4 linked regions of the Diceros bicornis minor genome follow. The protein of the gene in region 1 interacts with the protein of each later gene in a pairwise test. Links are inferred from orthologs where the notes say so. Each region holds a gene or a part of one and is shown on either strand. Other genes may lie near its edges. The genes, in order: POLR1C, POLR2J, MKRN3 and TSC22D4.

What was found.
Region 2: the proteins of POLR1C (region 1) and POLR2J interact in binary tests that used the Homo sapiens proteins (3 or more experiments, as listed by UniProt). The link is inferred for Diceros bicornis minor from reciprocal best matches to the Homo sapiens genes POLR1C and POLR2J.
Region 3: the proteins of POLR1C (region 1) and MKRN3 interact in binary tests that used the Homo sapiens proteins (3 or more experiments, as listed by UniProt). The two-hybrid records come from large-scale screens. The link is inferred for Diceros bicornis minor from reciprocal best matches to the Homo sapiens genes POLR1C and MKRN3.
Region 4: the proteins of POLR1C (region 1) and TSC22D4 interact in binary tests that used the Homo sapiens proteins (3 or more experiments, as listed by UniProt). The two-hybrid records come from large-scale screens. The link is inferred for Diceros bicornis minor from reciprocal best matches to the Homo sapiens genes POLR1C and TSC22D4.

The regions. Positions count from the first base shown.
Region 1 is NC_080753.1:22,256,436-22,263,960, forward strand, and holds the start of POLR1C (DNA-directed RNA polymerases I and III subunit RPAC1), read right to left. Parts: upstream 3,014-7,525; 5' UTR 2,991-3,013; coding exon 2,922-2,990; intron 2,799-2,921; coding exon 2,727-2,798; intron 2,440-2,726; exon of another isoform or gene 2,038-2,439; intron 1,291-2,037; coding exon 1,183-1,290; intron 929-1,182; coding exon 796-928; intron 507-795; coding exon 387-506; intron 297-386; coding exon 144-296; intron 1-143. Other genes in the region: protein YIPF3, read left to right, coding at 3,301-3,381, 3,975-4,172, 4,366-4,472, 5,803-5,848, 5,986-6,078, 6,236-6,367, 6,562-6,675, 6,877-7,000 and 1 more. UniProt on the Homo sapiens protein: DNA-dependent RNA polymerase catalyzes the transcription of DNA into RNA using the four ribonucleoside triphosphates as substrates.
Region 2 is NC_080765.1:3,707,890-3,715,270, reverse strand, and holds the start of POLR2J (DNA-directed RNA polymerase II subunit RPB11-a), read right to left. Parts: upstream 3,002-7,381; 5' UTR 2,926-3,001; coding exon 2,873-2,925; intron 1,689-2,872; coding exon 1,599-1,688; intron 375-1,598; coding exon 200-374; intron 1-199. Other genes in the region: RASA4B (ras GTPase-activating protein 4B), read right to left, coding at 7,177-7,298. UniProt on the Homo sapiens protein: Core component of RNA polymerase II (Pol II), a DNA-dependent RNA polymerase which synthesizes mRNA precursors and many functional non-coding RNAs using the four ribonucleoside triphosphates as substrates.
Region 3 is NC_080744.1:77,047,430-77,054,582, reverse strand, and holds MKRN3 (probable E3 ubiquitin-protein ligase makorin-3), read left to right. Parts: upstream 1-4,146; 5' UTR 4,147-4,218; coding exon 4,219-5,709; 3' UTR 5,710-6,854; downstream 6,855-7,153. UniProt on the Homo sapiens protein: E3 ubiquitin ligase catalyzing the covalent attachment of ubiquitin moieties onto substrate proteins.
Region 4 is NC_080765.1:5,317,180-5,324,413, forward strand, and holds the start of TSC22D4 (TSC22 domain family protein 4), read left to right. Parts: upstream 1-4,223; 5' UTR 4,224-4,421; coding exon 4,422-5,183; intron 5,184-7,234.

The sequences.
Region 1 (7,525 bases):
TCTTCACGTTCCCTAAGCCACTAACAGCAAAGGCCCACTGGCTTTCTGCCTGTCAGGGACACCTCAGCAGAGTACCTCAGTCACACGTGGCCCCACTGTAACTGAACTGCCCTCCTGCCCAGGGCAGCCCATACAGTTCTTACCAATGCCTTTGACACAGTGCATGAGCAAGTCAATCTCCTGGCCAGGCCGCAGCTGAGCAATGAGGATATCATCATGCACTGGTCGGATAGTGCCCTCCGGGAAGAGGTCAGCCTGGTTTCCCAGGGGCACCCATGTCATGTGCCTGGTGTACACTGCGGGGAGAAGCACATCAGAAGACCTCAGTCCCTAAAACTAGCACCCACCAACAGGTGGGCCTTCTCCCTCACCCTACCACTCCTCACCTTTGTGGTTTACATAGAGTTCATTGGGGTCAGAGGAATCTTTAGCAGCATGGGGGTTCCGAGTACACCTGACTTGCAGCCGAAACTGCAGAGTATCTATCTCTGTGCCTTCTTCATCTCCTGCAGAAAGGGGGGAGGTGGCAGCTCTTAAAGAACTAGTCAACGTTTGAGTGCTAGACACCATACTGAGTGCGTTGTTTACATTTCTCATTTAATCCTCTTGACAAACTGAGGAAGGCAAGGGCAAGTGTTCTCACAGGTAACAACTGATGTACCAAAAAATGAGTAACTTGCCCAAGGTCATGCAGTAGTCAATCCAGGATTTGAACACAGGCAGTCTGATTCCAGAATCTACTTCACAGGCAAACTGCTTGCCTTTTCCCAAAATTTCACTTTCTCAAACACTCACCTTGGTTCCGATATTCAAAAAGACGGGGATCAGCATGAATGGGAATGAGCCCCAAGCGATGAGCGAGGATCTCATCCTGGACAATGGACGTGTTGTTGTACACCAGGACCTTTTCCACAGCCATGGTTGGCACCTGCCCAAGAAATAAGAATCATCTACAAAGATCTTATAGACTCCCCATCTACTCCCTGCCTCCTGACATAGGGAGATGGGAGAGACCTCTTCCTAGAAGAATGCTTGATAAAAAGTTTTCAAAGAATGAGGAGAAATGCTCAGCAATATTACAGGAAAAATAAAGAGGAGGGGTGGCTTGAGATAATTCTCCAAGCGAGGCCATGGCACCGTTTCCCCTCACAAGTCCACCCTTGCCACCATGCCCACCAATACCTCGGCTAACAGAATGCGTCGAAAAGCATTGGCTATGGCTGCGTCGATTCCCACCATGTCAAACTCCAATGAGTTTTCATCCATGTGTACCACATCCACACGGAAATTCTAAAAGGACAGGAAAAGCACTAAATGAAGTCTGTTCTCTATAGAACAAGGTACCTACCCTCTGGATCTTCCTCTCAACGTTTTAACATTCTCTCTCATCCAAAAACCTCCCTTGGCCCAGATGTCCCTCATTAGATGTTCCTTTCTCCTCCAATCCTTTATTAGTTTCTTGAAAAGTCTTCCTGTTTTTACCTTTCATTCATTTAAAACCCTCTGCCATATGGCTTCCAGCCAGTCCATCCACGGAGGCTATTCTACTAAAGAACAGGCTTCCATGTGACACTACTTAACCCTTATCTTACTAGACTCCTCTGCTGCATTTGGCATTGTTGCTAGAATCTCCCTCTTTTCAAACTACTGCCTTGATTTCTGAGCACCAGTCTTCTGGTTCTCTTCCTTCTTTTTCTGATGAATCCTAAATTCACTATCTTCCACCCACCCCATAAATGTTACTATTTCCCAGGTTTTTGTCTCTCTCCAGAGTGACCTGACCACACTCATGGTTTTAGCAACTATCTGTACTAACAACTCCTCACATTATATCTCACTTCTGATCTTATTTCAAACATATATTCTACTAGCCTTCTAGACTTCTCCACATGCAGGAAACGGAACGCATCATCATTCCCCTCCCCCAGACCCATTTCTCATCAGTAAAGGACACCACCATCCATCAAAGCAGTTCCCCGAGCTAGATCATCTCACGCTCCCCCTCACGGCCCATATCAAAGCAATCACCAAACTCACCTTCTCTCTCTCCTTTGCTCTATTTCCGTGATGATAATCTTAGTTCATGCCTTCAACCTCAGCTCCCTATACAATTCTATCACAAATCTGCCTGCCCCATATGATGATCCTCAGATTCATTCTCTCCCAACCATTAAAGTTGCAAATCTTATCAGCTCTACTTAAGAGCTCTTCAAAAGCTCCTTATTCCTATGCACGCCGGCCCGCTTTACATTCTAGCAATAATTAACTGCTTGGACATACCCGGAGCACAGCTCACAAAGGCCTTTATAATTCAGCTTCTGTTCTTAGTCCTTCCTCACCCTTCGCTGTCGTCAGCTTCCACTCACCGTTTAAAGCTCAATTCAGATGTCATCTCCTTCAGGAAGGAAATCATTCATACCTCTGCCCCCTTTCCCATTCTAGATTAAGTGCCTCTGTGGGATACCCCTCACCCCACCCGCAGTCTTCCTTACTGCTATTCACCGCTTTTACCACATCATACTGGAATCATTTGTTTACGCGCGCTCTTTTCCAACAAGACTGAACTTCTTGTTCGCAAAAGAGGGCAGAAACCGTGCACACGGAGTGCCTAGCACACTGCTCAATAAACGTTTCATGAACGGAGCGAACCCCCAAGGGCACCTTGTAAGGGAGGGGCTGCTCACATCACACGGTCCGTTCCTCATACCCTCTCCGGCCCCACCCACCTTCTCGAAGCGGTCCTGGTCCCAGGCATCATCATAGCCGGAATAGTTACCGGGAAAGTCGGTGGTATGAACCTAGGGCAAAGAGACGAGTCTGCTGCGAAGGGGCAGCGAGCCCAAGTCTGTCCCCACATCGATCCAAACTCATCCCTGTCTCGCTCTCATTTCTCCTCCCGAGGTCAAGGGCACAAGGCTTACATTGCGAACCCCGAACTCCCCTAGAACCACGCGGCTCCGCATTTCTTCCACCGCCTGCGCCGCCGCCATCTTCAACCTCTGCACGTGACTAGAGCAGCAAACTGACGCGTGCGTTCTAGTCGCCCTCCTCCGTCTCCGTGGCAACGCACCACCTCCTGGAATCTTAAATATCGCGAGATTCTGCCCCGCCTCCGTCCACGTCCCCAACTTCCGGCAGTCAGTCTTGGCCAAACATCCGGGTTCGTCTCTTTTGCGTTCCGGTGGGTCCCACCTCTCTCTCTCTCGTCCCTGGACATCTCCCTCCGTCAGTCCCACGTCTCTCCCACTACTCCGCGCTCGGTGCCAGCGCGGGCTTCAGCGACGGGGGCTCTCGAGGGCCATGGCAACTACGGCGGCGCCGGCCGGGGGCGCCCGAAACGGGGCTGGCCCAGAATGGGGAGGGTTCGAAGAAAACATCCAGGTAATGGCCCCAAGGCTCCGACTGCTAGCAGCCCCAGGGCCGGCAGCCGTCCTGAAGTGTCGTGGGGACCCTCCCTCGGAGCCTGGACGTCTGCTCCATTTGCAGCCCTTTTGCTCTCCTTTGGGTCTTCGTGCACACGAAAGGCAGTGGGGCTAGTGCTGACCTGAAAGGTCCAGACTGGTACTCCAGCCGGAGGGCCTCAGATCTCTGGGCTCGCCCGCTCTTTCGGAACAATTAGGAGGTCGGTCGGGGTCCACTGGCGCTGGCTAAAACCATACTGTGTACGCAGCCTCGTTTAGGGGTTGGGAAAGACAAAGGAAATGGACACTTTTGGAGCCCTTTGAGGCTTTGATAGGGAAGATAGGACAAAGACAGGTATGGAAGACAGGGAGTAGGTTTCCCAGGCAAGAAGAGAGCCAACCAACCAAGCGTTCTGAGAGCAAAACAGGGGAAGATAGTGGCATGATCTGTGGTGATTCCAAGCCATATCCCCAGCAGTGACAGAACAAGGCCCCAAACCCTGGGATGAACAGAGGAGGACTTAATGGATGGAGCAGAAAGGTCCTGCACTCTAGGAGCCATTGTCTTCACAGGGTGGGGGCTCGGCTGTGATTGACATGGAGAACATGGATGATACCTCAGGTTCCAGCTTCGAGGACATGGGTGAGCTGCATCAGCGCCTGCGCGAGGAAGAAGTAGATGCTGATGCAGCTGCTGCTGAAGAAGAGGATGGGGAGTTCCTGGGCATGAAGGGCTTTAAGGGACAGCTGAGCAGGCAGGTGGCTGATCAGGTAAGCAAGAGTGGATCCCTGGCAGGTGGAAAAGTATACCTAAGCAGGCCCCAGGTTCTGGAGTTGGTGTTGAAGTTCACCCCAGATTGTCCAGTTAGAACCATGTAGAAATCCAACAGAAAATAAGCTACAAGGCCTAGAGCCAAGAGTCTCACAATACCCACCCACCCCACCCCCGTCTTCCTTACTTCAGATGTGGCAGGCAGGAAAGAGACAAGCCTCCAGGGCCTTCAGCTTGTACGCCAACATCGACATCCTGAGACCCTACTTTGATGTGGAGCCTGCCCAGGTGCGAAGCAGGTGAGGATTCTTCTCCTGACAGAAGCTGCCCTCTTAACACCTAGTCCTTCATCCAAACCACAACCAGATACCAAGTCTTAAGCTCCCCTCTTCATGACCCCCGCAGGCCTCATCATTGCACCTGTGCCCAGCCACACCATACCTCTTACCCGTCATAGAACAGGACATGGGGATAACGCATTGCCTTTTTCCTCTTCTCCATCTAGCAAACTACTCATCTTCCCTCAAAACCTAGCTCAGATGTCACTTCCTTTGTTCTCCATTCCTCATCCCCATCCTTTTTGTCCTCTCCTAGTGGTCCTATAGATCTTTCTGCTTTCCTCTAGCAGATAAAATTTCAGCCAAGCTGTACTTTCTTATTCCTGTGTCTGTGTCCCCAGATTCCACCTCAAAAGCAGGCTCTGTTTTATTTTTTTATTCCCAGCACCACAACAGTCTCTGAACCAGAACATCAGTGCATAGTTGTTGAATGACTTTTCAAGAACTGGATTTAATCTTGGCTTGGTTCTTTGTTTACCCATTAATGTAACCAATGCTTATCAAATACCCAGTACCACTCCGCAAGGCTTTATGAAGCACTTGCTCTGTGCCCGGCACTTTAGTAGTTATGTCTGATTCAGTGGTAAAGATGGATGAGAGCCTTGCCCTCAAGTGCAGTTACAATACAGCACTCATGTGCTATGATGGGGCACACGGGAGGATCACCTGGACCCAGAGTAGGCTGGAGGGTGGGACAAGGCAGGTTTGCCAAAGGAAGTAAAATCTAGCCAGAATCCAAGGTATTATTAGGAGCTACCCGCTTAAGAAGAGGGTGAGGGAGTGACTTGTACTTTTTCTTCCTTTTGCCTGGACGTTTTTACCACTTAGCTATATTTTAAAGAACATGCTCAGCAGTGCCTGGAGAAATGGTAAGCGGGAAGAGGCAGGAGGCACACTGGCTCCCTCAAGTAAAACCTTTCCTTGTAAACCTCTCCCAGGGCTTCACCTTCACAGCCCTGAATTCTGGGCATTCTCCCCTGGGGTTTGCCTGTCTTTTAAAGGGGAGCAGGTCAAATAGGTAAATGATCATGCCTTCTCCTGAGGCCCAGCTGGGCTGAGTTCTCCATTTTGCTGTTGCATCAGTCAGCACGGCATCGGAGGGTTGTCCTTCCTGGAAGCATTTTTAGGGGCAAGGAAGTGATTCCCTCATTCCTTGTCCATCTTTACTGTTCTCTTCTCCCTTTACCATCCAGCATGTTCTCTGGAGTTAGAGAGATGAATAAGATTCAGGCCCTCCAGAACCTCATAGCCTAGTGCTGCCTCTGCTCTCATCTCTCCTCTCCTCTCCCAGGCTCCTGGAGTCCATGATCCCTATCAAGATGGTCAACTTCCCCCAGGTGAATAGGGGGTAGCATGTCTGGAAGAGCCCGGGGAGGCACTAGGGCAGAGGGTGGGGCCACCAGGCAAAGCATGGGAAGGCATCAACAGAAGGGCCATTGTACTCTCCAGCCTGAGTGAGTTGGTATATTGACAGAAAATCGCAGGTGAGCTCTATGGACCTCTCATGCTGGTCTTCACGCTGGTTGCCATCCTCCTCCACGGGATGAAGACATCTGACACCATTATCGTAAGCAGGACAGAGGACTTTGGGGGGTGGCTGAACTGAGTTGAAAGCTGCCCAAGGAGACGATGGTGGAGTGAGGTAGCAGCAGCCTCTGAGGAAGGCCCTGGGGGAGGCTGAGACCAGAGGCCTCCCAGGACTAAGTAGAGCATTCATCCCACAGCGGGAGGGCACCCTGATGGGCACAGCCATTGGCACCTGCTTCGGCTACTGGCTGGGTGTCTCGTCCTTCATTTACTTCCTCGCCTACCTGTGCAATGCCCAGATCACCATGCTGCAGATGCTGGCACTGCTGGTAAGGAGTCCCGCATGGTGGTGGGCAAGGGTGATCTTAAAAGAGTAGCTAGGCCTTGGTCTGCATCTGTCTTGGGGCCCCAGGGCATGGAGTGGGGTGAGCTGGCCAGTGGACCACTTCTTTGTCAGGGTCCCCATGAGGGTCTAGGCCAGCCCAACCTGAGTGATTTTCCTCTCCACCATCCTCCTTCCTAGGGCTACGGCCTCTTTGGGCACTGCATCGTCCTGTTCATCACCTATAACATCCACCTCCACGCCCTCTTCTACCTCTTCTGGCTGCTGGTGGGGGGGCTGTCCACCCTGCGCATGGTAAGCTGGGCAAGAGGTGTCCAGAGGTGGGCTGTCCTCTCAGGGAGTTGGGTTAAACAGCCCAGAGCTCGGGCAGAACCCCACAAAGGGCTCTCAATGGGAGGGAGGAGCCCAAAGATGGTTCTGCTCCAGGGAGGAGTGTCATCTCCACACTGCTCACTTCGGAGCCAGGCCCTCTGAACTGTATTCCTGTGGCTCTAGGTGGCAGTGTTGGTGTCACGGACTGTGGGCCCCACACAGCGGCTGCTTCTCTGTGGCACCCTGGCTGCCCTGCACATGCTCTTCCTGCTCTATCTGCATTTTGCCTACCACAAGGTGGTAGAGGGTGAGTGACAGGAGGGCCTGGGGGGGCGGGGAGAGAGCTGCCTAGGGCAGGGCCCAGCTGACTCTCACTCACCTTCCGTCCTCCTTTCAGGGATCCTGGACACACTGGAGGGCCCCAACATTCCACCCATGCAGAGGGTCCCCAGAGACATCCCTGCTGCGCTCCCTGCTGCTAGGATTCCCGCCACCCTGCTCAACGCCACAGCCAAGGCTGTCGCAGTGACCCTGCAGTCACACTGACCCCACCTGAAATCCTTGGCCGCCCCCCTTTCCCCCAGCTGCGGAGCGGAGGAGGATTAAAGGACAGTACTGATGACATGTGTCTCTTTGATGGGGTCTGCAGCTGCCACAGAGCTGTAGCCGCTTAAGCACCTCCTTGACGCCTGTCAGGGCTTCTGAAGGGCACAAGGCCAAGAACGCGTGGCCGGGACTGCAGGCTCTGCAGCCAGTGCAGAAAGTGGGCCAGCTCCTCCGAGGCCCTCTCCACCTACCCCTTCCTTCCTCTTTGTCTCTCCCACGATGTCTT
Region 2 (7,381 bases), on another chromosome or scaffold:
TCCGTAACCCCTTAGTCCACGCTGCCTAGAGGCTGTGGTGGAGGTCCCTGCTCTGTCATCACCTCTGTCCCTCCCTCCACAAATAAATCAGAGGAAACGACCCAGGGCTCATCTTATGTGGCATGAGAACACTGCAGCTCTGGGCACAGGCTGGCACCTAGACCACCCCGACCCCCAAGCTGCACATCTGGTTCCTCACCCGGAATCGCTCTTCCAGCAGGGAGAGCTCGCTGATGAGGTCTGTGATGGCATTGGTGAAGGCCTCCTGGGGGCTGTAGTCTGGTGTGGTCTGCACGCGGATGATGATCTTGTGCTCCAAGGGGTGGGGGACTTTGTAGCCAGCAAACAGCACCTGTGGGTCCTTCAGCAGCTGTCTGAGACAGAGAGATGGGCAGTGTGAGGGAGGCGAGCCCAGTGCCCCTGGGGCTTTGGCCCCTTCTGGCTTACCAGGCTTTCTAACCAAGGAATCTTCCCATTGGGTTGAGGCGTGTAAGCAAATACACTGGGAGCTGACCCCAGGTGGTTCCCTACTCTTGATTTTTAGTGTTTTTTTTTTTTTTGTCCCCCCAAAATCTTCAAAGACAACAGACTTGAAGAAGATATACCATGTGGGCACTCCTCCCACACCCCCCTACATCCATGAGCATCAAGGACCCTAGCTGGTAAACAGGGTTTCCAGCAACCTCCTCCCTCAGGGGAAGTCAGGGACCCCGCAGCGCCCACAAAGAGACCTCCCTAGGCTGTAAACATCCAGCCAGTGTTCAGTAAACCAGAACACAAAAGCCCCATTCCAGCCCCAAAAGAGCATCTGGCACAGCAAATAAAGGGAGCAGGGGCCCCCAGCTCTGAGCAGTGAAGAAATGGAGATGGAGGTCCTTTGGGCAACACCAGCTGGCAGCTGCTGTCCACATGTGGGGTCCTGTTCTACGTGGCTGTGTGAAGTGAAGCCTGCATCGTGTGCTGTGCCCTGGGCAAGCGGGGTCTCTCTCCAGAGCAGCTCAGTCAAATGTGAGCACCAAGAAGGAGGGCCCTGGCACAGGTGGGGACACTGGGCTCACACAGCAGCGGAGCAGCAGGGGTGCACCACTGGCTTATTCAGGGTGGGAGTCATTCGGACAGAAGATGGGCAACCCCACCCCCTACTTACACCAGGAGACCAGGCGGCTCCCGCCTCGGCCTCAAACACGCAAACCTGGGAGAGGCCTGGCTTCACTGATGGCACTGTCGGCAGTGAAATGACACGTCCCTGGGCCAGAGCGGCAACCACGTCACTGACCACCCACCTGGCCAGGACTTAACTGGTGTAAACATACTCACCAACCAATAGCAGGAACCCACCAGGGGCACCGGCTAACCACAGAGCCCCTCTCCCACTTCTTATTCTGTTCAGTTTCAGTCTCTGCCACACACATCTAGAATGCAAGGTGTCACTGCGGTCATGTTACCAATAGGGGCACCAATAGGGGAGCTAATCCTGACTGCTTCTCTGTGCTTATTAGCACAAAAACAGACAGACTTAAGAAAATCTTCTGGACCTGATGCTTTGCCTCAAAGAGCCCCATTAAAGGCAGCCCAAGAGCCTTGGACCTGGAACTTACGATTTAATGATGTTTCCCAGCGTGTGGTCTTCTTTGTTGATGGTGAACAAGCAGGCATTGGGTACCTTGGTGTCCTTGTTAATGGTGATCCTAGGAAGAGGCAGAGGCAACAGATGGGGGGCAGGGGCTCCCCTCCTCCCCCGAGTCTAAACCCTGCCCTTCAAGGCAGGCTCAAGTCCCACTTCCTCCTGGAAGCCTTTCCCAATCTCTTCGTCCCATGAAGACCCCTGACTCAGGGCAGCAGTGAGTCTCTACCCTGACCCCAGCCACACCCTGACTCCGTGGGACTCGCGCTGACTCTGGATTGCTCCTTTCCCTAAAGCGGAGTTTCTTAATCTTGGCACCACTGACATTTTAGGCCAGATAATTCTTCTCTGTAGGGGGCTGTCTTGTACACTGCAGGATATTAGCAGTACCCCTGGCCTCTACCCACTACATGCCAGGAGCACCCCCTTGGTGACAACCAAAAATGTTTGCAGACATTGCCAAAAGCCCCCCCTGGGGGGGAAAATGGTCCCCGATCGAGAACCGCTGCTCTCAGGGACACTGAAGTGCCTGGCAAGAGGCAGACCACAGAGCCCTGCAGACCAGGCTGTTCAGAGAAGGAAAAGCCGACGTTGAGGGTCTTCTATGCCCTGAGCCCTGGACTAAGCACTTTACATACATTACCTGATTTAATCTCCCCTTAGCGAAAATCCTGTGATTTAATGCAGTAATAAGCCCATTTTCCAGATGAGGAAAGTGGGCCTCAGGCAGACTGAGTCACTTGCCCAAAGATACAAAGTCCTTAAGGGGGGGATCCAGGAGCCAAGCCGAGCTGTTTGACCCCTAGACTACATTCTCCTTCACCCTGCAGGCCGTGAGGAGTCACTGAAGCTTTTACACAGGGGAATGAAGATCGGATGGGAGTCTACGAGCCCCCACTCTGGCTGCAGCAAGGAGGATAGAGGTGGCAGGCAGGAAGATGAGTGAGGAGGCTGCCAGATTCCAGAAAGAAAGGACTTTGGAGCCAGACATTCTGGGTTCGAATGCAGACCCACCACCTCCTGTGCTCCTGGGGGAGTTACTTAACCTCTCTGAGCCTCAGTGTCCTCATCTGCAAAATGGGGAGACTCACCACCGCCTCGCAGGCCTGTCTTACTTTGGCAGACTCGGCCGAGCGGACGCTCAAGCAAAAGCTGCTTCCATCCCCCGCAGAGGACGGGCAGGAGAAGCCCCAGAATCTGCGACCGACCCTCGGTCCGACCCTCCCCGCCCCGGCCTGCTCCACTTACTTCTTCTCGCCCTCGAAGAGCAGGAACGACTCGAAGGCGGGAGGGGCGTTCATCCCAGCGCCTCAACCGGCTCCAAAGTCGCAGCTGCTGCCACCACTGCCTCCACAGCCCTACAGCGTAACCTCTTCCGGGTTAGCGGCTGCTTCCGTGTTACGCCGGCAGTGCCAAAGCCGCGTGAGGACCGGCTCACCGCCCCCTATCGGACTGGAGGATCTTGCGCAGGTGCGAGAAACGCCCGCGGGAGGGACTATGGGAGGCTGGTGGCTCTGCGCATGCGTGAGTCCGGAAGTTCCTCTCGGGGGTTCGCCTGCGGGCGCACTTTGGCGTATGCCCCGAGCGCTGAAGGGTGGTCTGTTCGTATTGAGACGTCGTCGTCCAGGCTAAGCCGGAACCTTGAGCTGTCCCTCTCTCCACTCCCCATACCCCTTTATCCTCTTTGGAAATGTGCCCTTGGAGTACGTAGCAAGAGGCCCCTGAGTGGAGAGTGGAGCCATGGGGTAGTGTGCAGGTGTGGCCGGGGGAGCGCGAAAGAAACCCCCTTGAGCCGGACGGTTGTGTATGGATAAAGCCCCTGCCCAGGCGGACTGCTACAAGACCCCTGGCTGGGTTGTCACTGGCTTGTCAAGTGGGCTTGTGGCCTAGTGAGCTTCTTGTTAGGGGGACAGTTGGGTGAGGGCTGGGGGAGGAGGCAGGTGTGTGTATAGAGGTGTGAGAGAGGCACTCCGAGGGATAAGTGTATCCGTCCCTGTTTTGATTGGTTGATATGTTGCAGACTACAGTATAAAGGCCCTACCTGAGCTCTTTGAAGCAACAGGGGCTGGTTTCTCAGATCAGCGACTGGGGCCCTAATAGCTTCCCAGGTGTTTCTTCAGGGCTGGGCAGCAGCTGAGGAGCCCCCCAGGAAATCTGGAGCTTCCACCACCACTTCCTGGCAAGGGCCCTTTCCTACTTGAGCCTGGAGTGCTGGGGTGAGGAGTGTCATTATTTGCGGGAGGCCCACAGAGAACCTTCACTCTCCAGGCCAAGAGGGTGGGGGCCTCTAACTGGTGTGGAATAGAAGGCAGTGAGGGTAATGATGCTCCGAGATGGTACCCTCACCCTTCTGGGTTATCCTGGAAAAGTTTGGGCCAAGGATTCTACCGTTGCCAGGGTTACTGAGGCCTGAAGGTGACGAGGCTGGCCACCCTTAACTGGGGTAGGGACAGGGTGAGGAGAGGATTTTTACCCAGCAGGGGCTCCACTCCCTGCCACTGTGGAAGTCTGTCCTCTCTTGGGGAGTTCTGGTCTCACTCACCCTTTGATTCCCAGACCAACATGAGATCCTGGGCTCCAGAAGCTGTCAGCCCCCAGAGTCTTCAGCGGCTCAATGCAGGTGTCCCCAAGGGGAGGCCAAATGAGCATTCTCACCTCTCATCTTCTCATAAGACTAAGAGAGAGAGGCCTGCTGGGCACCACTGTGGAAGGGGCTGCTGGAATGTGGGGTGTTGAGAAACATTCTCCAACCTTGGAAATAAGGTGAAAGGCAAGTGTGCGGCATATTCTATCAATGTCATACTGGAGCATTGTTGGACAGGTCTGACCAAGGGTTATTTCATTAACTGGGGCAGAGATCGTAAAATGTGAGGGCTTGTGGACCAAATCAAGCCTGCCACCTATTTTTGTAAATAAAGTTTTATTGGAATACGCCATGCGCATTTGTTTACTCATTGTCTGTGGCTGCTTTTGTGCTACCAGAGTAACTGGGACCAAAACCTGCATGCCTGGGCCTTTGCAGAAAAACCTTGCCAATCCCTAATCTTGGGGAACGGACCTTTGTTTTACTTTGATATTTATTATTTGATTAAAACCTAGACACTGAAGTTACTTACTAACTTGTAGGTTTCTATGCCATAGAGAAGAAAACTCCATTAACCAGTTTTGTATCAAATATCACAATCTTATTCTAGCAATCTGTTCTTGGAATGCTTACAAATACCCAGCTTCTCAAAACGCTCTACAAACCAGCTTTGCCAAACACTCATTTCCTCCTTGAAGTGTAATAAATCTTTGATACATGTTCATTCTATATTTGTATGTCATTTTTTTATGTATTTGAAAATTACACTTTGACAGGAATTTCCCAAGAGGCGGCTGGTAGGAACTGCCCCATATTTCCTATGAGACAGGCCTGGAGGATGAAAGACACATGTACTGTGTGAGCTAGGCCCACCCAGGGCTGCGCAGGGTGCTGCCCTGTGGTGAATGCCAGCCCCCTTGGCTGCAAGCCTCTGAGTGTCCTATCAGACATCTGGGGGACCTGTCCAGGCCCCAGGTGAATAACAGGCCTGGCAATCCCAGGGTGACGTGGGGGTGGGGTGCAGAGTCCCTGGGCAGGTGTAGGGTGTGACCTTCACACCCTCCTGTGCTGTGCACAAGCAGGAGTCTTTTCTGTCTCTCTCCTTTTCCAGGTGGCTTCCAAAACGAATGTGGCACCCTGGGCTGTAGGCAGCTCTGCTCAGAGCCTGAGAGGAGAACCTGGCGTGCGGGGTACATGAGCAGTGAGGGCAGTGCCAGGCACTTATTCATTTTAACCCCCTCCTGGCCACAGTGGCCACGCCCACACCAGGATCCACTGGAGGAGAGGGTGGCGGCTGCTGCCGGGTGGGTGGCTGTGTGTGTGCAGTTACAATCCAGAATTTGATTTGTTGCCACCCCAGTAAGTGCTCACCTCTCTTTCCCCTTCACTTCCTGCATTAGGGTTCAGTAGACCCTGGGGTCCATACTTCCGGACCATGAGGTCCTTGAACCCAAGAAGATCCACAGGCATGAGGATTTGGGTGAAGCCTACGGAAGTAGCTGGAGAACCAGATGTTGTGCTGTGGGGAGGGGCGGAGCAGGCTCAGCCACCCCTGGACCCAAGCCTGGGCCAGGAGGGGAAGGAGGCCCGGCCCTGCAAAGAGGCCCATGAGGCCCCTAGGATGGTAGCATCCCCACCAAGGAGTTGAGTTGGTGGGCTGCTTGGGGGCGGGGGGACAATGCCCCCATCAAGGCTGTGGCCAGGAAAAGAGGTTGACATGGCCCCCAAGCCACAGGGTAGAGTGGAGGGGGCAGCCCCTTGCTCCTTCGACCGCCCCCCACCCCATGCCTTTCTACGCCATCCCTCAAGGAACCCAGTATGCAGCCTGCCCAGATGGCCCTGCCCCAGAGCCTGGCTGGTGAGCTGGTGCAGGGGTCCTGCCTGTGACCCAGGCCCTTGGGGACTGTCCTAGGCTAGAATTCACAGGCGAGGCTCCAAGCTTGGCTAAATAAGAGTTTTAAGAACATGTTGGAAGACCCTGCCCCTCTCCCGTCTTGTTAATTATGTTGGAGGTTACTGTGTACCTAGAGGTGGATCGGGATGAGGATGGGGAGGTGACGACAGAGGTGACCTTGCTTTGGCAGAGAGGGCTGGCATAAAGGACACTGCCAGAGCCAAGCCCGTGATTCAAGGGTCTGAACCCAGCCCCGCTGTGCAGTCTTCAGGACACTTGGAGGAAATGCCTGTTTGGGGGCTGTGAGGAGAGGGGCAGCTCGTGAGACACATCAGGCTCTGTAGCCCATGGGGGACAGAGAAATGGGACCAAGGGGTGTGGTGGGGACAGTGGCTGGGAGGAGAAAGGAGCACCCCTCAGGATGGGGGGAAGCAAAGAAGGGGCAATAGGGATTCGCAGAGGCCATGCTGGTGGCCCCAGTCCTTGGCCACTCCCACCCACTCCCTCCCCCAACCCCCATCATGAGACGCCCGAGTTGTGACAGTCACAGCAGGTTTATTGTCAGCAAAAGAGCACCGTGACACTCTCCCGGGGGGCGCAGCCAGTGGCCATGAGGGGGGCAGGCGGGGTGGTAGCCGAGAGCACAGTGGGTGCTGAGGTCGAGGCCTAGTCTCTGGCCCCATGTTCCCTCCTGCCTCTCTGGGTCCAAGGAGCGTCGGTCCACCTGGGCCTGGACTATCCTAGTGGTGGTTCCTGGCTGCGTCTGCCCTGGGCAGAGAGGAGGGTTCCTGGGGAGTCTGGGATAGTGGTGGCAATGGCTGCAGGGGCCGTATGGAGCAGCCAGACCTCAAAGAGGAGCGGGCGCTCCCGAAGTCTCCTAGAGACTTCAGGTGGGCCATGCTGGGCAAAGCCTTGTCAGCTCTGCACTTCTGGACCCCCTTGTCCCTGGCTCCCCCAACTCACCCGGCCCACAAGAGACCAGGCCGAGTGACAGGGACTGAGATGAAGGGCCAAGAGTGCACCAGGGGTCTCCAAGCACCTGGCAGGGGCTGGCGAGGGGGTGTGGGGCAGGCCTCACGTCTGCGGTTGCAGGCGGCGGCTGGGCTCTGCGGGCAGGGAGCCGGCTGGGCTGGATCTATGGGCCTCCCGGAGGTTCTGAAGCACCTGCAGCAGCTGGGCCAGCGGGTCCTCAGGGGCTGCAGGCAGACGCAGGGTGAGGCAGAGCAGGCAGGGCCTTGCCTGCCAGCACCTGACCCGGGGCCAAAGGGTCTCTGGGAAT
Region 3 (7,153 bases), on another chromosome or scaffold:
CCAGCTTTATTGAGATATAGTTAATAAACAAAAAACTGCACATAATTAATGCATGAAATTTGGTGAGTTTGGACTTCTGAACCAGAGTTGCAGAAAACTGTCTCTGTAAATTTCAAAATAAAAATCAGTTTGTCCAACAGTATGAGAAAATAAGTATTCTTTCACTACCTCTTATGTGCAAGAATTTCCAGGGATCCTATAGACATATTACTGCTGGATCCAGAAACATAAAAAGAGACTGTGCCTAGAGACTTTACTCACAGGATGATTTGAGTGATTCTAAAATACAAAGGACATTTATGGAGATCTCAAAGACTATGCCTTGTAACAGGCACTGTTCCAATCGTTTAATAAAAATTCTCTCTTTTAATACTCATAGTAGATCTGTGAGATAATCACTCATTATTATTATTGTTATTATTAGTATTATTATTCCCATCATTTTCCAGATGAGCTAAAAGAGGATGATTAATTTGCCCAAGGTTAATTCTTAGTTGGAGAGTATAGAGTCCAGATTTGAATCCCTGATGCCTCATTCTAGACACTTTCTTTTAACGCCCTCACACACTCCAGTAGTGCCTAAATGTTGGATCTGAAGCAGGTGTGTGTGGGGGAGCAAACTGCTTTGAAACAATTTGTGTCCTTTAAATATGGACACATCAGCCACATGGGACTGGGCCCAGAAGGCCTGAGCTGTTTGGAATAAAAGACTGCCGGGCCTCCTGGCTCTTTTCTATCCATCCTACACTCTACTTCTGTACTAGTCTCCTACCTCTTGGGCTTTTGTTACACTGCCTGGACTGTGCCTCAGCCCTGCAGTGCTGTAAACCACCTCCCCCCTTGTGACTCTGCTCCTGGTGACCTAGGTGCTTATTGCAGCCTGCTGAGGAGGAGCCTTGCTTTTATTCAGTCCACTTGGACACCCAAATGCTGACCAGCCAGGAGATCTCATGCTGGCCTGAAGACTGGTGTGTGTACAAGTTAGCTTCGGCCAGGTCCCAGCCCTAAGGTTTCTTGGGAAAAGAGGGCTCAGCCAAGCCCAGTAACTGGAGAAATGATCAGATGTGTGTTCTCAGAGACTGTATGAAACCATCAGTGCTCAAAAAAAAAAATCAGGACAAGAATATGATCTATGACAGTCAGACAAAATTCTCTGAGAATAGGTATTTGATCAGGACAGGAACTATGTGTTCATTTCTCTAAAGACGCACTGCCCATTATTTCCAGTTATTCAATTTCACGTGATATTTATAATCATGGGGTACAATTTTAGTTTCTAATAGTGTATATGAAATATTGCCACTATAAAACTCTAAGATATAGTACACTATGAAATGGTAGGACATGAACACCAGTGGGAGCCACACAGTGGGGATCTGAAGGCAAACCCTGCCCCGTGGCAGCTGCATAGCCTTGGGCAATTTAGGAAATCTCCATTCCTTTGTTTGAGGCGATGGGATGATCACATACTATCTAGAACTTCACTAAGACAGTAGCTACTAGCCACATATGGCTATTTAAATTAATTTTGAAATTAAAAAAATACAAATTCAATTCCTAAGTCACTCTAGCCACATCTCAAGTGCTCAAGAGCCATGTGGGGTTAAAGGCTACTGTACTGGATAGCACAAATATCAAATCATCATAGAACATTCTATTGGACAGTGCTTGTCTATAAAAAATGGATCAAATATAATTTAGACACAGTACTGGGAATATATTAAACAAATAATAGGCTTATGTTCAGGATTTTTATATTCATGAATATGTGAAGAGCCTGGTATATAAGCCTAGTATCTGTGCTCCAAGTCTTTTTTCCTGTGAAAATCTTCGGGACTGTAAAAGGAATATGCATGAACCAACGCATTTAGGAAAGGAAAGCAAATGCAAGTGAGTCTGACTTTGGAAGAACTGGCATCCTCAGCACAAAACTCAATAACTATATAAAGGAGAATTCAAAATCACCAAGATTTCCTAGATTCATGGTGGATAAACAGCAACATTCTCATATGATTATCAAATTAGGAAAAGACTACCTTTGAAAATATTGAGACTTTCACTGCATAATCAGAGTATTCCTCGATTTGTTTAGGTCTTCTTAAATAAACATGATTTTAATTTTTAAAACTTTAATTTCTAGGATAGTTAACTTTTAATGTTATGAATTTTAAATATTTAAGTGATATTGATGATATACATATAACTGATTTTATATATTGCACTCCTATCCAATGTCCTTGCTAAATGTGCTTATTAAATCTAATGGTTTATCAGTAAATTATTCTCAGTTTTCTGCTGTCTTCCATTAATAGTTCCTTTCCAATTCTAACATCATTTATTTCTTTTCTTGCCTCATTGTACTGGCTTGGACTTGTAACAATAAGCATAAAATTTTTTTCCTTTTTATTTATTTCAAAGGGAAAGCTTTAAAAGCTTTCATTTAGAGAATTATTTTTAATTACAGATTTCATTTATCTAACAGATCAATATTTATGTTTCCTACTTCTGCTCCTGTCATTTTTAATTAATAGACATGTTTCTAGAAATATAACCATTTCATGTAATTTTTCAAATTTAATGGCCTAACTTTGTTCCTGGTATCCTCTCATGATTTTAATGTCTGTTATTAATGTACTTATAACACTTTTAAAATTTCTGATCTTGATTATTTGAGCCTTCATGTTTTTTTGATAAATTTCACTAGAATGTATCTGTTTCAATAATCCTTTCAAAGGGTTTTGATTCATTCCCCTGACTTCATGTTTGTTTTTCTTTAATAATTTATTAGTTTTATTATTTGCTTCAATCTGATTTCTGTGCTACATTCAAACTTTCTCCCATTTTAAAATATAAATTTAGGCTATAGAATTCCCTCTGAGAAATTCATTTTAGCAAACAAAAATTCAGTAATATATAAAATGATGATACATCATAACACAGAAAGGTTTATTCTTAGAAAAAAATGGTAAGTTGAATATTTGAAAATCTATCAGTGCAAATAATCACATTAAGAGAATAAAAGGAAAAAATACCATATGATCATCTCTCAAAAAATGCAAACAACTACATGATAAAATTCACTATACATTCATGGTTAGTACTCTTAGCAAAGCAGGAATATAATTTATTTTACTAATCTAATAACATCTATCTGCAAAATAACAGAGCTCACACACAGGGAAATTAAAAGGCACCATTTGAGAGCAGAAGGGTATAGAATATGTTACGAAATACTGGCCTGCCACAATTCCACACAAAGCTGGGTGAAAGAAAGAAAGAAAGGGAAACAAAAGGCCACCATGAGTTAAACCAGCAAGAGAAAATAAAAGCCAGGGTCACATAGGGGACAGCAGCTTATTAAGCCAGCATAGGGACAGGACAAAGCCTGCGGCTTCTGCACAGGAGGGGAGAGAGAGAGACTACAATGAGCTGAGACATCTCAAAGGTGCTAAAGCGGCCTCAGATCACAAGCGCTCCCGCTAACGCCTTGCTGGCGAAAAACGTTCCCGATGTAAGCCCACATGAATTTCCAGAAAATAAAGACCAGAAAATATGACGCATCGTCAAGAAAATGTACCGAAAAAGCTTCTAGAAGTTACAGTCATGAGACAAAGAAAAAAAAAAAAGACCCACACAGACAAAAGGGAGTGAACGCAAAATAATTTATAAAATTATAAAATTCACGTATGAGATATTTCACGAACTACAAGGTGAATTTTTAAGCACAGGGGGGAAGACAGAATTGTGATTTTTAAAATAGACATATGTGAAAAAGCAATCAGGAATGCTAGAAGAGATTAAATTTAAAACCTCAAAGGCCGCGATTACGTCCTCCACGGGAGACGGCCGACGAGCGGCTGGGGGATCAGCTGGCGTGCATCGGAGCAAGACAGAGGCTGGAGAGGAGGGGCTGGCAGCCCTGCCTGATGCAAACAAAGGCAGCTTCCGCTCCGACTCTCATGCCAGCTGTACGGATCCGAGCACGCCGTACGGACGCGACAGAGGACTGACGTTGTTCCCACAGGAAGTGTCCGCCGCGCCTGCCCAGAAAGGGAAGTAGGAACTCATAGTCACAGGAAGTAGAGAGTGGGGGGAAGGAAAAGAGATGCACATTTCCCAAAGACGAGCCCCGGGCCGGTTACTGACCTCCGGGCCTCAAGCCCAAAAGGAAGAGGCACCGGGGAAGTTCCGGCACCATTTCAGGGCACAGAAGCTGCCATGGAAGAGCCTGCAGCTCCCTCTGAAGCCTCTGAGGCAGCTGGGGCCCCTACGGGTGCTGCGGCAGCAGGGGAGGGTCCTGGAGGGCCCCGTCTGCCCGTGCGCCCTGCCCCCCGGCAAGTTGCGGTTCCGAGCCCGGCCCTCCTCCGAGCGTCACGTCGGAGGCCTGCCCAGGCCTCAGGGGGAGGGGCCGGGCCCAGCTGGCTGCCGAGCCGGAGCAGCGGCAGCTGGACAAAGCAAATCACCTGCAGGTATTATCTGCATGGGCGGTGCAAGGAGGGGGAGAACTGTCGCTACTCCCACGACCTCTCAGGCCGGCAGATGGCCAGGGAGGGTCGTAGTTCGCCGCCTGGGGCCTCTGCAGGCCGAGGCGCCAGCACGGCTGCGCACGTTGAGACCCTGCCTCAGGAAGTGGCGAAAGCCCCCCCTGCTGCGTCCTCACGCTCCTTGCCTGTGATTGGCTCGGCTGCTGAAAGGGGTTTCTTTGAAGCTGAGAGAGAGAGTGCAGGCCTGGAAGCTGCCGGAGGAGCAGGTGCAGAAGGCTGGGCGGATGCCATTGAGTTTGTTCCCGGGCAACCCTACCGGGGCCGCAGGGCCCTTGTTGTCCCCGAGGCTCCTCTGCAGAGCTCAGTGACTGAGAGGGAGCAGATTGCTGTGGGCACGGGGGAGCAGCTTTGCCGCGATGCTATCATGGGGCAATGCTTTCGTGGGGAGAGATGTATGTATGTCCACGGAGACATATGCGATATGTGTGGGCTACAGGTCTTACACCCGGTGGATGCTGTCCAGAGGGAAGAACATGTAAGGGCCTGCATTGAAGCACACGAGAAGGATATGGAACTCTCGTTTGCTGTGCAGCGCAGTCTGGACAAAGTGTGTGGCATCTGCATGGAGGTGGTGTATGACAGAGCCAACCCCAGTGACCGCCGCTTTGGCATCCTCTCCAACTGCAACCACGCCTACTGTCTTAAGTGTATCCGCAGGTGGAGGAGTGCCAAACACTTTGGGAGCAGGCTGGTCAAATCCTGCCCGCAGTGCAGGGTCACTTCCAGCCTTGTTATTCCCAGTGAGTTCTGGGTGGAGGAAGAAGAAGAGAAGCAGAAACTTATTCAGCAGTACAAGGAGGCAATGAGAAACAAGACCTGCAGGTATTTTGCTGCAAGCGGGGGTTATTGCCCATTTGGAGAGAACTGTTTTTACAAGCATGCAGACCCTGAGGGCCTGGGAGAGGATCCTGTGCAGGTGGGAGAGGGCGACATGCCCTTTAAAAGCTGTAAAAAAGAGCTTGTCATGCTTCGGCTGGCCAATCTGTTGTTTAAGTGTTTCCTTTCACTGGGAGATAATGAGCTCCCCTTCTCAGAGGACCAGTGGGACTTGCTTCATTATGAGCTAGAAAAAACATTTCAATTTGAGTCTGTAGCATTATGCTGTGGCATGTGGTCTAGTGTGCTGAGGCTCCGTCATCCGCTATTGCCTGTTTTCTGTTTGTAGACACATCTGTCACTCACAGGGGCTGTTGAAGTCATTTTCATGGAGCATCCATCTCTGTTTTCTTGCCCATCCCATTTGTTTCCCCCTATGATTATGGTGTCTCACTGTGTTAAAAAGCAATCGAAAGTCCTTAAAGTTATTGTTTGGTGAAATTAATATTACTGTCAGTTTATGGTTTATTTTGTCGTCTCTGTTTTCAACAGGAGTGACTCAGTTCTAGTCTAGTGTTTACAGAATTTCCACACTCATTTTGAAGTCCCTCAAGAATAAATGTGACAGGGTGAAGGGAGAAGTCTTAACTGAACAAGGAGCTTTTTGCTACTACAGCCTTAAGAAATGGACCCTGGCGGGGCCTTGTGGTGCAGCTGCTCATCTCTTGTTGTTTACATGTTGTTCCTTCCCTCATCCCCTTCAAGTGCGCTCTTTAACTTGTGGTTACCTTGTGGTTTTGTGTTTTACTTGACCAGAACTAGGTGCATATGTTTACATGTTTTTATCCTGTTTAGCTTGATGTGAAATTATTTATATTTGGAAGTGTGTATTTAAGAATTATATATATATATATATATATATATAAAGAGAGAGATGCATATAAATGTGTATAAAAGTTATGTATTTGAAAATATATATAAAAGATATACATCATACTATGCTATAATGTTTATGTAATAAAGTAAATTTGGAGCTGGAAGCTGGAAGTCAAAGGCTAATAGGATTCACTGTGTTGTGTGAGTGTGAGGTGTGTGAATGATCTTTCCCTTTCACAGGCTTCAGTGATTAGCATCTGATGAAAACAGCTATTCAAGAGGCTCTGGTCAAAAGTGGCAGACAGATCTTAAAGGACTTACAAAATATGGCATTGGTCTTTCCTATGATGGCATTAATAGCTCACTCTGCTATTATAAATATAAAAATGTGTGTTCCCATGCAGTTTAGCATCATCTCATTATCTCCTATAACAGTACAATCCTGGACTCATACACACAGTTTTTGTATTCAATATTTTGTATTGTCTATAGACATTCCAAACAAAGGGCTTTTGACAAAAATTTCAACATATAAGTGACAAGATTATAAAATATAAAATAAAATAATAAAAATATTGAAACCAGTCTGAATGCAACAATGGAAAAATTTAAAAATAGAATGTAGAAAGTAACAAAAACTAAATACAATAGTAATACGGAAAGTTTATAATACAAATACACCATAATTAGATTAAATGAAAATGGTTTAAAAACTAAAAGATTATCAGACTTGATTAAAATTAAAATGAATCTGTTGCTATTTAAAATACACACCTACAGTATAAGAATATAGAAACATTAAAAGAAGATGAAAAAATCAAACAGAGGTGCTGTGACTTTTTATCATAGACAAAGTTCATATTAAAGAAAAACATATTACTGTAGATAAATAAGGATGGTATGTAAAAAACTATAAT
Region 4 (7,234 bases), on another chromosome or scaffold:
CGAGCTGGGCCCTGCCGCAGAGACAGCCCCGCCTCCGGGTCCGCCCCCAGACCCGCCCCCGGCCCCAAACCCACCCTTCCACACCCTCCAAGGACGGAGCTGGAGCGGCCGCGTTGTGCTGCGCCGCCAGGCTGGGGTGGGGGGCACGAGGGCCGCGGAGCCCCCAGGGGGACTCGGAGAAAGATCGTGGGGCGCGGGGGACCTGGCGCCAGTCCGCCCCCGCTTTGGGGCGTCCGCTCCTCGCCTCCCCTCGCCCCTGGCCCGGCCGGGCCGTGCTCGGTTCAGTGTCCAAGGCCCCGGCGGAGCGAAGCGGGGCGCAGCGTGCAGCGGCGCCCCCCAGCGGCAGCCGGGGGTCTGCACCGACGCGCGTACCCCGTGCGCCAGGCGCTCCCCGGGTGCGCACCCCGCGTCGGGCCGGGGCGAGGCTGCAGCTGCGGGGCCCCGAGTGCAGTGAGGTGGCGAGGCCGGCAGGGGGGGCCGCTTTCCGGGCCGAGGGGCTCTGAGTGGGAAGCCGGACCATCTGCGTCTCTACCCAGCAGGGGGCGTGCTCCCTTGGCCGCGCCCCGTCTTCCCGCCGCCCCCCACGTGCGGGGAGGGCACGGGAGCTGGCTCGCTTGGTACCCGTCGCTTATCCCTGCAGCCTCGCAGGCGCCCGGACCTTGTTTCACCGCCTGGGCTCAAAGTCTTCCACCCGTCCGTCCCCGCCGCCCAAGTCACCCTCCCACTAACCTTTGACTCCGCTGGCGGCGCCTGCCGAGACCTGGGCGCCCCGGGGTCGGCCTCTCACTGGGACCACCGCGGCCACGGCCCAGGTGCGGTCGCGGCGGCCGCGGAGGGTCGCGACCTCGCCCCCCGCCTCGCATCACCTTTCTCATCGGCTCCCTGAGAAATTCTCCCTTGGAAATCTCTTTGCCGCACAATAGCTGCAAGACTTCGGTTCTACCCTTAACTGGCTGAAAAATGGACCCCCATAAAATATCCACGCCCTAATCCCTGGAACCTGTGAATGTTACTTTATATGGCAAAGTCTTTGCTGATGTGCTGTGCAGCTTTGGGCAAATGGCACAGCCCCTCTGAGAGATGCCTCATCTCATACCTACCTCAATAAAGTGGTTGGGAGGCAGCAAAATAATGACTACCAAGAGCTTTGTAAATCGTAAAGGGCCCCACACATTAAAGGGCTGTTATAAATGCCTCCAGGGGAGGAAAAACAATAAAATACATACCAGTCCTTTCACATTTACGCCTTAGTGTGAATGAATTTTTATTTATTCATTCAACAAGCATGTCCACAGAGACCAACAACGTCCCAGCGACTGCAGACATGGAGGAGTCCAAGTTGATGCTGAGCGTCTGAGCTGGTGGGAAGGGGAGGGTCCCAAGATAAGTTTTGAATAGTTCGTAGCAAGTCTGCGCTGAAGGATCCCGGGCGGAGCACAGGGCTCTGTTCTGAATATTGCCAGAGAGGAGGGGGTTGGAGGGGGAGTTGTGTGGGAGGCTACTTCAGCTGCTTCCTGGACCTCACGCCTTGGGAGGCCTCAGGACTTGGCTATGGTAGCCATTGTCTCCATGAAGGGAGAGAGGCAGGAGTAGAGACGCATTTTAACAAAGAGATAAAGAATAAATATATAAACGTGGGGCAAAGGATTTTGCATCATTTTGTTTTTGCTTAACCCTAAAGAGTGATTAAAAATTTTCATGAGGGTCCAGCTCCCTGCAGTAGTGGTTAAGTTCTGCACATTCCCCACAGGTTCGGATCCCGGTTGCCGACCTACACCACTTGTCAGCCACACTGTGGCAGCAACCCACACATAAAGTAGAGGAAGATTGGCACAGATGTTAGCTCAGGGCTAATCTTACCTAGCAAAAAAAACCCCAAAAAAACAAAAAAAAAATTTCCATGAGCCAAAGCTGAGGAAGGAGGGATGTGTCAGAGCCCAGCACTGGTCTCAACGCCATCCAACACCTGCTCTGAGGCCTTGAGCAAATAATGCCTGTAAGCCTCAGTTTCCTTAGCGGAAACACTAGCTCAAAACCCACCCCACTTCTGCCCAGGGCTGTTTTGAGAATCCATGAGATAACCATGTGAAGTGGACAAATACGAGGAATTTTTAATATGCTCTAGACCCGTTCCATTTGACCCAAATTAATTACACTCCATTTCCTTCTGAACCTGGGAGTGAGGGCAGATGTGGCCATTAGACATGGCTCTTGCTAAAATAACTCCTTTTAGAATGTTGGTTGGGGGAGCCAAAAAAGAGAAAATGGCAGTTTATTCTTTCATGCCAAGCACATAGTAGGCCCTTTATGAGTGTGTGTGGACTCACCAGAGTGAGGGAGGGACGGGATGGGAAAGGCAGGAAGGGTGAGAGGTAGGGAGGGGCCCATGCTGGTGGCCAGCTGGGTTCGTCATCCTCAGCCACATGTGTGTTGGGTGACTGCGTGTACATACATATGTGTGACCAGCGGTTGGAAAGAAAGTGCCAGTCAGCACCTTCTCGAGAGTGTCTTCATTGTCTCTCTGTTTGGGGGCCAGACAAGAACACCTCTGACTGTATGAAATGTCCCTGCGCCACCACTGACAGCTTTTCTGAACCTCCTGGGTGTCAATTTCCACATCTAAGAAGGGGAATACTATGATGTCTGGGATGTGATTCAAATACTCCAGCACAAAACAACAAAAGATATTGGGGGGCAGATGAAACAAGACTGGCTGTGAGTTGATAACTGTCGACACTACTCTCTCTACTTTGGGGCATGTTTGAAAATTGTCATAATAATCCACTTTTTAAAATCAGGACAGGGGAGAATAACCTTCCTCGTACAGTTACTGTGAGAACCAGCGAAGACATGACACTAACAGCTGCAGCAGCACCGTAACATTTACTGGGCGCTTACGGGGCGGCAGGCGCCCAGCAGAGCTCCGGCTAAGCTCCTTCCCACTCCTGGGTGTCTGTAGGCCAATGGCAGCGAGCGCCTACAAGTAAGGGAATCCCTGGCCTCGCTCAAACTCCTCCCCTTTCTCTCCGCCCTCCACAGCCCCTCCCTCCGAGGAAGAGCTGGGCTAGGGCCCAGCAGGTGTGGGGTTAAGGCAGCTCGGTCGGGGCCCCAGGAGCCGCAGCAGCCGCAGCAACTGCACCAGCAGCGGCGGTGGCAGGCCTGGCCCCGGGCCAGCTGGCCGGGAGCCCCAGGAGGAGAGGGGGCGGAGGAAGAGGGGAAGGAGGAGGAGGAGGAGGAGAGGAGCAGTCAGCAGGCCCGAGGAGGCAGGACTTCCTGGTGTGGGGGTTGTCAACAGCCCAGAAAGAGAAAGACAGAGACAGAACTGAGAGGAGCTGAGGAGCCGAGAGAGACCCAGCAAGGCCACGCGGGAGGAGACTTGGGAGACCCACTCGCCCCGACCACCGAGGCGGCTCCACCTGGAGGAGCGGGGGGCTGAGCCGCCCCCTCCCGCATCGGTCCGGAGACCCTTGGGGCTTCAGAGGCCGCGCTTGGACTCCACCAAGGAGGCGGGGGTTCCTTCTTTACTGGAGGGCAAACTTTTCACGGAGATGCCTTGCGGGGCGAGGTGCTGCCCCTGAAGAGGACCGGACAGCCTCTGGTCGCCACCTGCGCGCCCCGCGCTGCTGGGGCCGGGAGGCCCCAGGAAAAGGACAGCCGGACGTCTTAGGCAGCCGGAACCCCCGGCCCAGCTCGGTGGCCGAAGCCGAGAGGTAGGGCTCTGGGCTGGGCGGGGCGCTGGGCCGGAGGGGCAGGGCCTGCCCCAGGGATGGGGGAGCTGGGGTGCCGGGCCTCGAGGCTCAGCAGAGGCCTCCCGGTGGCCGGGCCAGGCCGAGGAGCTGCTTCACCCCCGTTCCCCCAGGCCCTGGAGCCCTTGCCCTTGGGACGACTCGGTCCCGTGAGTTTGAATCCCAGGCGAGAAATGCCCAACTTTGGGTCTGGGCTGCCTCTTCCTGCTCTGTGCGCGCGCTCGGATCCGTCCCGTCTGCCCTGGTCTCTGTCGTCTCTGGCTGTCTCTTTGTCTCTGGGTCTCTGGCGGTTTCCCCTTCCTCCCCCATCCTGCTCCCCAGAGAGGAAGCCCCGGAGGTGGCCTGCCCACTGCTTTCTCACACATACACACTCTCTCTCTTTTTCCAGTTTGCAAACTCAGCTCTGGAGTTCGGCAGCGACAGCAGCAGGAAAAACCTGCCCCTGCCGGGCCCCCCCCACCCCCGCTCCTGCCACCACCCCTACCCTGTTCTCCCTTCACCAACCAGGCACCCCCAGTTCCCCGCAAGGCCCTCCTGCCATGTCGGACCCAGACGGCCCCAGGGGCCCTGATGTACCCGCCATGTGGCCCCCCTGTTCCAGGGGCGCCTGAGCCCCTTCGAAGATCCACCACTGCCCCCCTGCCCACCTTGGCCTAGTCCTGAGCCCCAAGGACCATGAGTGGGGGCAAGAAGAAGAGTAGTTTCCAAATCACCAGCGTCACCACGGACTACGACGGCCCAGGGAGCCCAGGGGATCCAGATCCCCCTACCCCGCCGGCCCCCACCGGGCCCTCGCCCCGCCTGCCCAATGGGGAGCCCAACCCTGAGCCGGGGGGCAAGGGCACCCCCCGGAATGGCTCCCCGCCGCCTGGGGCCCCAGCCTCCCGTTTCCGGGTGGTGAAGCTGCCCCACGGCCTGGGAGAGCCTTATCGCCGAGGCCGTTGGACGTGTGTGGATGTTTACGAGAGAGACCTGGAGCCCCCTAGTTTTGGCAGGCTCCTGGAGGGAATTCGAGGGGCCTCGGGGGGTACCGGGGGCAGATCTTTGGATTCCAGGTTGGAGCTGGCCAGCTTGGGCCTGGGCGCCCCTACCCCACAGCCAAGCCTGTCTCAGGGCCCCACCTCCTGGCTCCGCCCGCCTCCCACCTCCCCTGGACCTCAGGCCCGTTCCTTCACTGGGGGGCTGGGCCAGCTGGCGGTGCCTGGCAAGGCCAAGGGGGAGACACCCCCCATGTCAGCCTCCCCACCGCAGCAGCACCCCCCAGAGCCTGGGACTGGGGATAGCATGGGGCCGCCCAGTGCCGCCACGCCCCTGCCCTCCCTGAGGGTGGAAGTGGAGGCTGGGGGCTCAGCAGCCGTGACCCCTCCACTGTCCCGAACGAAGGATGGAGCCCTGCGGCTGAGGACGGAGTTGGTTCCTCCAGAGGAGATGGGGCAGGTAAGAGCTGGGTTCCAGAGTCGGGGAGACACCTGAGGGGTGGTGCGTCTCAGCCTTGGCCTAACCTCCAGCCTGGGCCTCCTTGCCTCCACCTCCATACCACTTTCTCCTCACTTCATCAGCACCTGTCTGTCAGATCAGATAGCCTCTCATTTTTTTTCCTGCCATCTCACTTGGAAGTCCATTCTTCCTCCTCTCACTGCCTTTGTTTTCTCTCTCAGGCTCCCTCTTCCCCACATTCTGCACCTTCTTTCTTTCTTTTTGGCCTGTCATTTGTTGCCTTTGGCCCAAGTCGCCATCTCCATATAGCGTAGTCCCATCTCTCCATCACAGGGATGTGGCCTCCCCATGCTGGCCTTCACCTTCTGTCTTGGTCTCACCCCTTCTGGCTTCAGGCGTTGAGGGTGGAGGCCCCAGGCAGGGCTGGGTGGTTGGGCCTCTGGGAGAGGAGCTGCCAAGGTTGGCAGGGCAGGTTAACAAGTAGGCATTCTGTTCTAAGTCTGTCCTTTGTAGCCCCATTCCAAAGGTGGGGGTCTTCTTTTTCCCACTACACACCCATCCCAGCCCCGTCTTCAGCTTTGTCTTAAGCCAAATTTTTCCGAGGACCTGAGGAATTGGGTGGGGGGCCCGTTACAAGGATGGGGGCCTTGCTGGTATGTCCTTTCCACCCCCGGTTGTCTGTCTCAGTTCCCTGCATCTGGGCCTCTCCAGGATCGATAACTAGGGGTGGCCACCATGGAGTGGGAGAGGTGGGAAGCAGCTGAGAAAGAGTTAAATCCTTTGCTCTCTCTGCTTCCTGTCTCCAAAAGAGGAACAAGTCTGGGCTGGGGGGCAGGATGCCTGGGTCCCTGGGGTGGGGGGTGGGCAGCGAGGAATGTGGGGGTTGGATGTGTCTGTCCTGAAGGAGAAAATAACACCTTGAGCTGCAGGAGGAAAGTCAGGGAGTGTGAGGATGAGAGCTTTTCCCCTTCCTGGCCTTGGGCACAGACCACAGTATAAAAATAGCCTGAGACTGGGTGTCTGGGCCCTGTCAGGACCGGTCAGGACTGGCTCCCCCCCACCCCTTCTGGCCGCAAGCTCACATCTCTCGTGCTCCCCTCACCCCTACTTTTCTTGAGTTTTTTTTTGAGCTCTTTCATTCAGTTCCTACCCCAGGGGAGAAGACGCTGTTTCCTTTACTGGTCCCTGTCCCCACACTCTTCCAAAGCAGGCCCCCTTCGCCCCAGCCTCTGTCTGTCCTTAACCCCTGCCTGAGCTTCCCTTGGGCCCGCTGACCCTGCCCCTCTCCCTTCAGTGCCCCCAGCCCCTTTGCTTCCCCTGCATCCTGATCCCTTCCTGTGTGCCTGCATCTGTGCTGCTGCTTCCCTGCCCAGAAGTCCGTCTCCCTTCCACACTCCCCCATGCCACCTGGGCCCCCTTCCTCTGCTCTGTCCCTCTAACCACCCTGGACTCAGTTCTTGGCTTTTCCGAGAAGCTGGGGCCTCCTGGGGCCTCACAGAGGCGTCTTGTTCCTGTGGCCCCCGCCCTTTTGCAGCCACCCCCAGCGCCTGTTGGACTGTGTGGGTCCACACCCAGGCTCCGCCTCCCCCCATCTCTGCAACCACTCCCCCCCACCCCCAAGGAGGGAGCAAGCGCAGGAGCAGAACTTCACCTGAGACCGAGAAGTTTGAGAGGAGAGGCTAGAATGGGAGGTGGGGGGGTGGGGGGCGTGGAGGACCAGTTTCTGAGGATTCATTCATTCTACAAATAGCTATTGAATAAACTAAGCTCTGCCCTCTGGAGCTTACCTTCTAGCAGCGGAGAGACAAAAATACTTTAATTTCCTATAATATTAGGTGCTATAAAAAAATAGAACAGTTCGGGGGAATCCACTACTAGAATGATGGGGAAATGCCTCTCTGAGGAAGTGACATTTGACTTGCTTTAAGAAGCCAAGTGACAGAAGGCAGACACTCTCTGACTAGCCTCTGATTAGGGGTCCTGGTTCAGCTGGCAGAAGATGCTGGAGTGCAGACCAGAGCCCCTCTCTGATACCCCGTGAGCCACTGTTT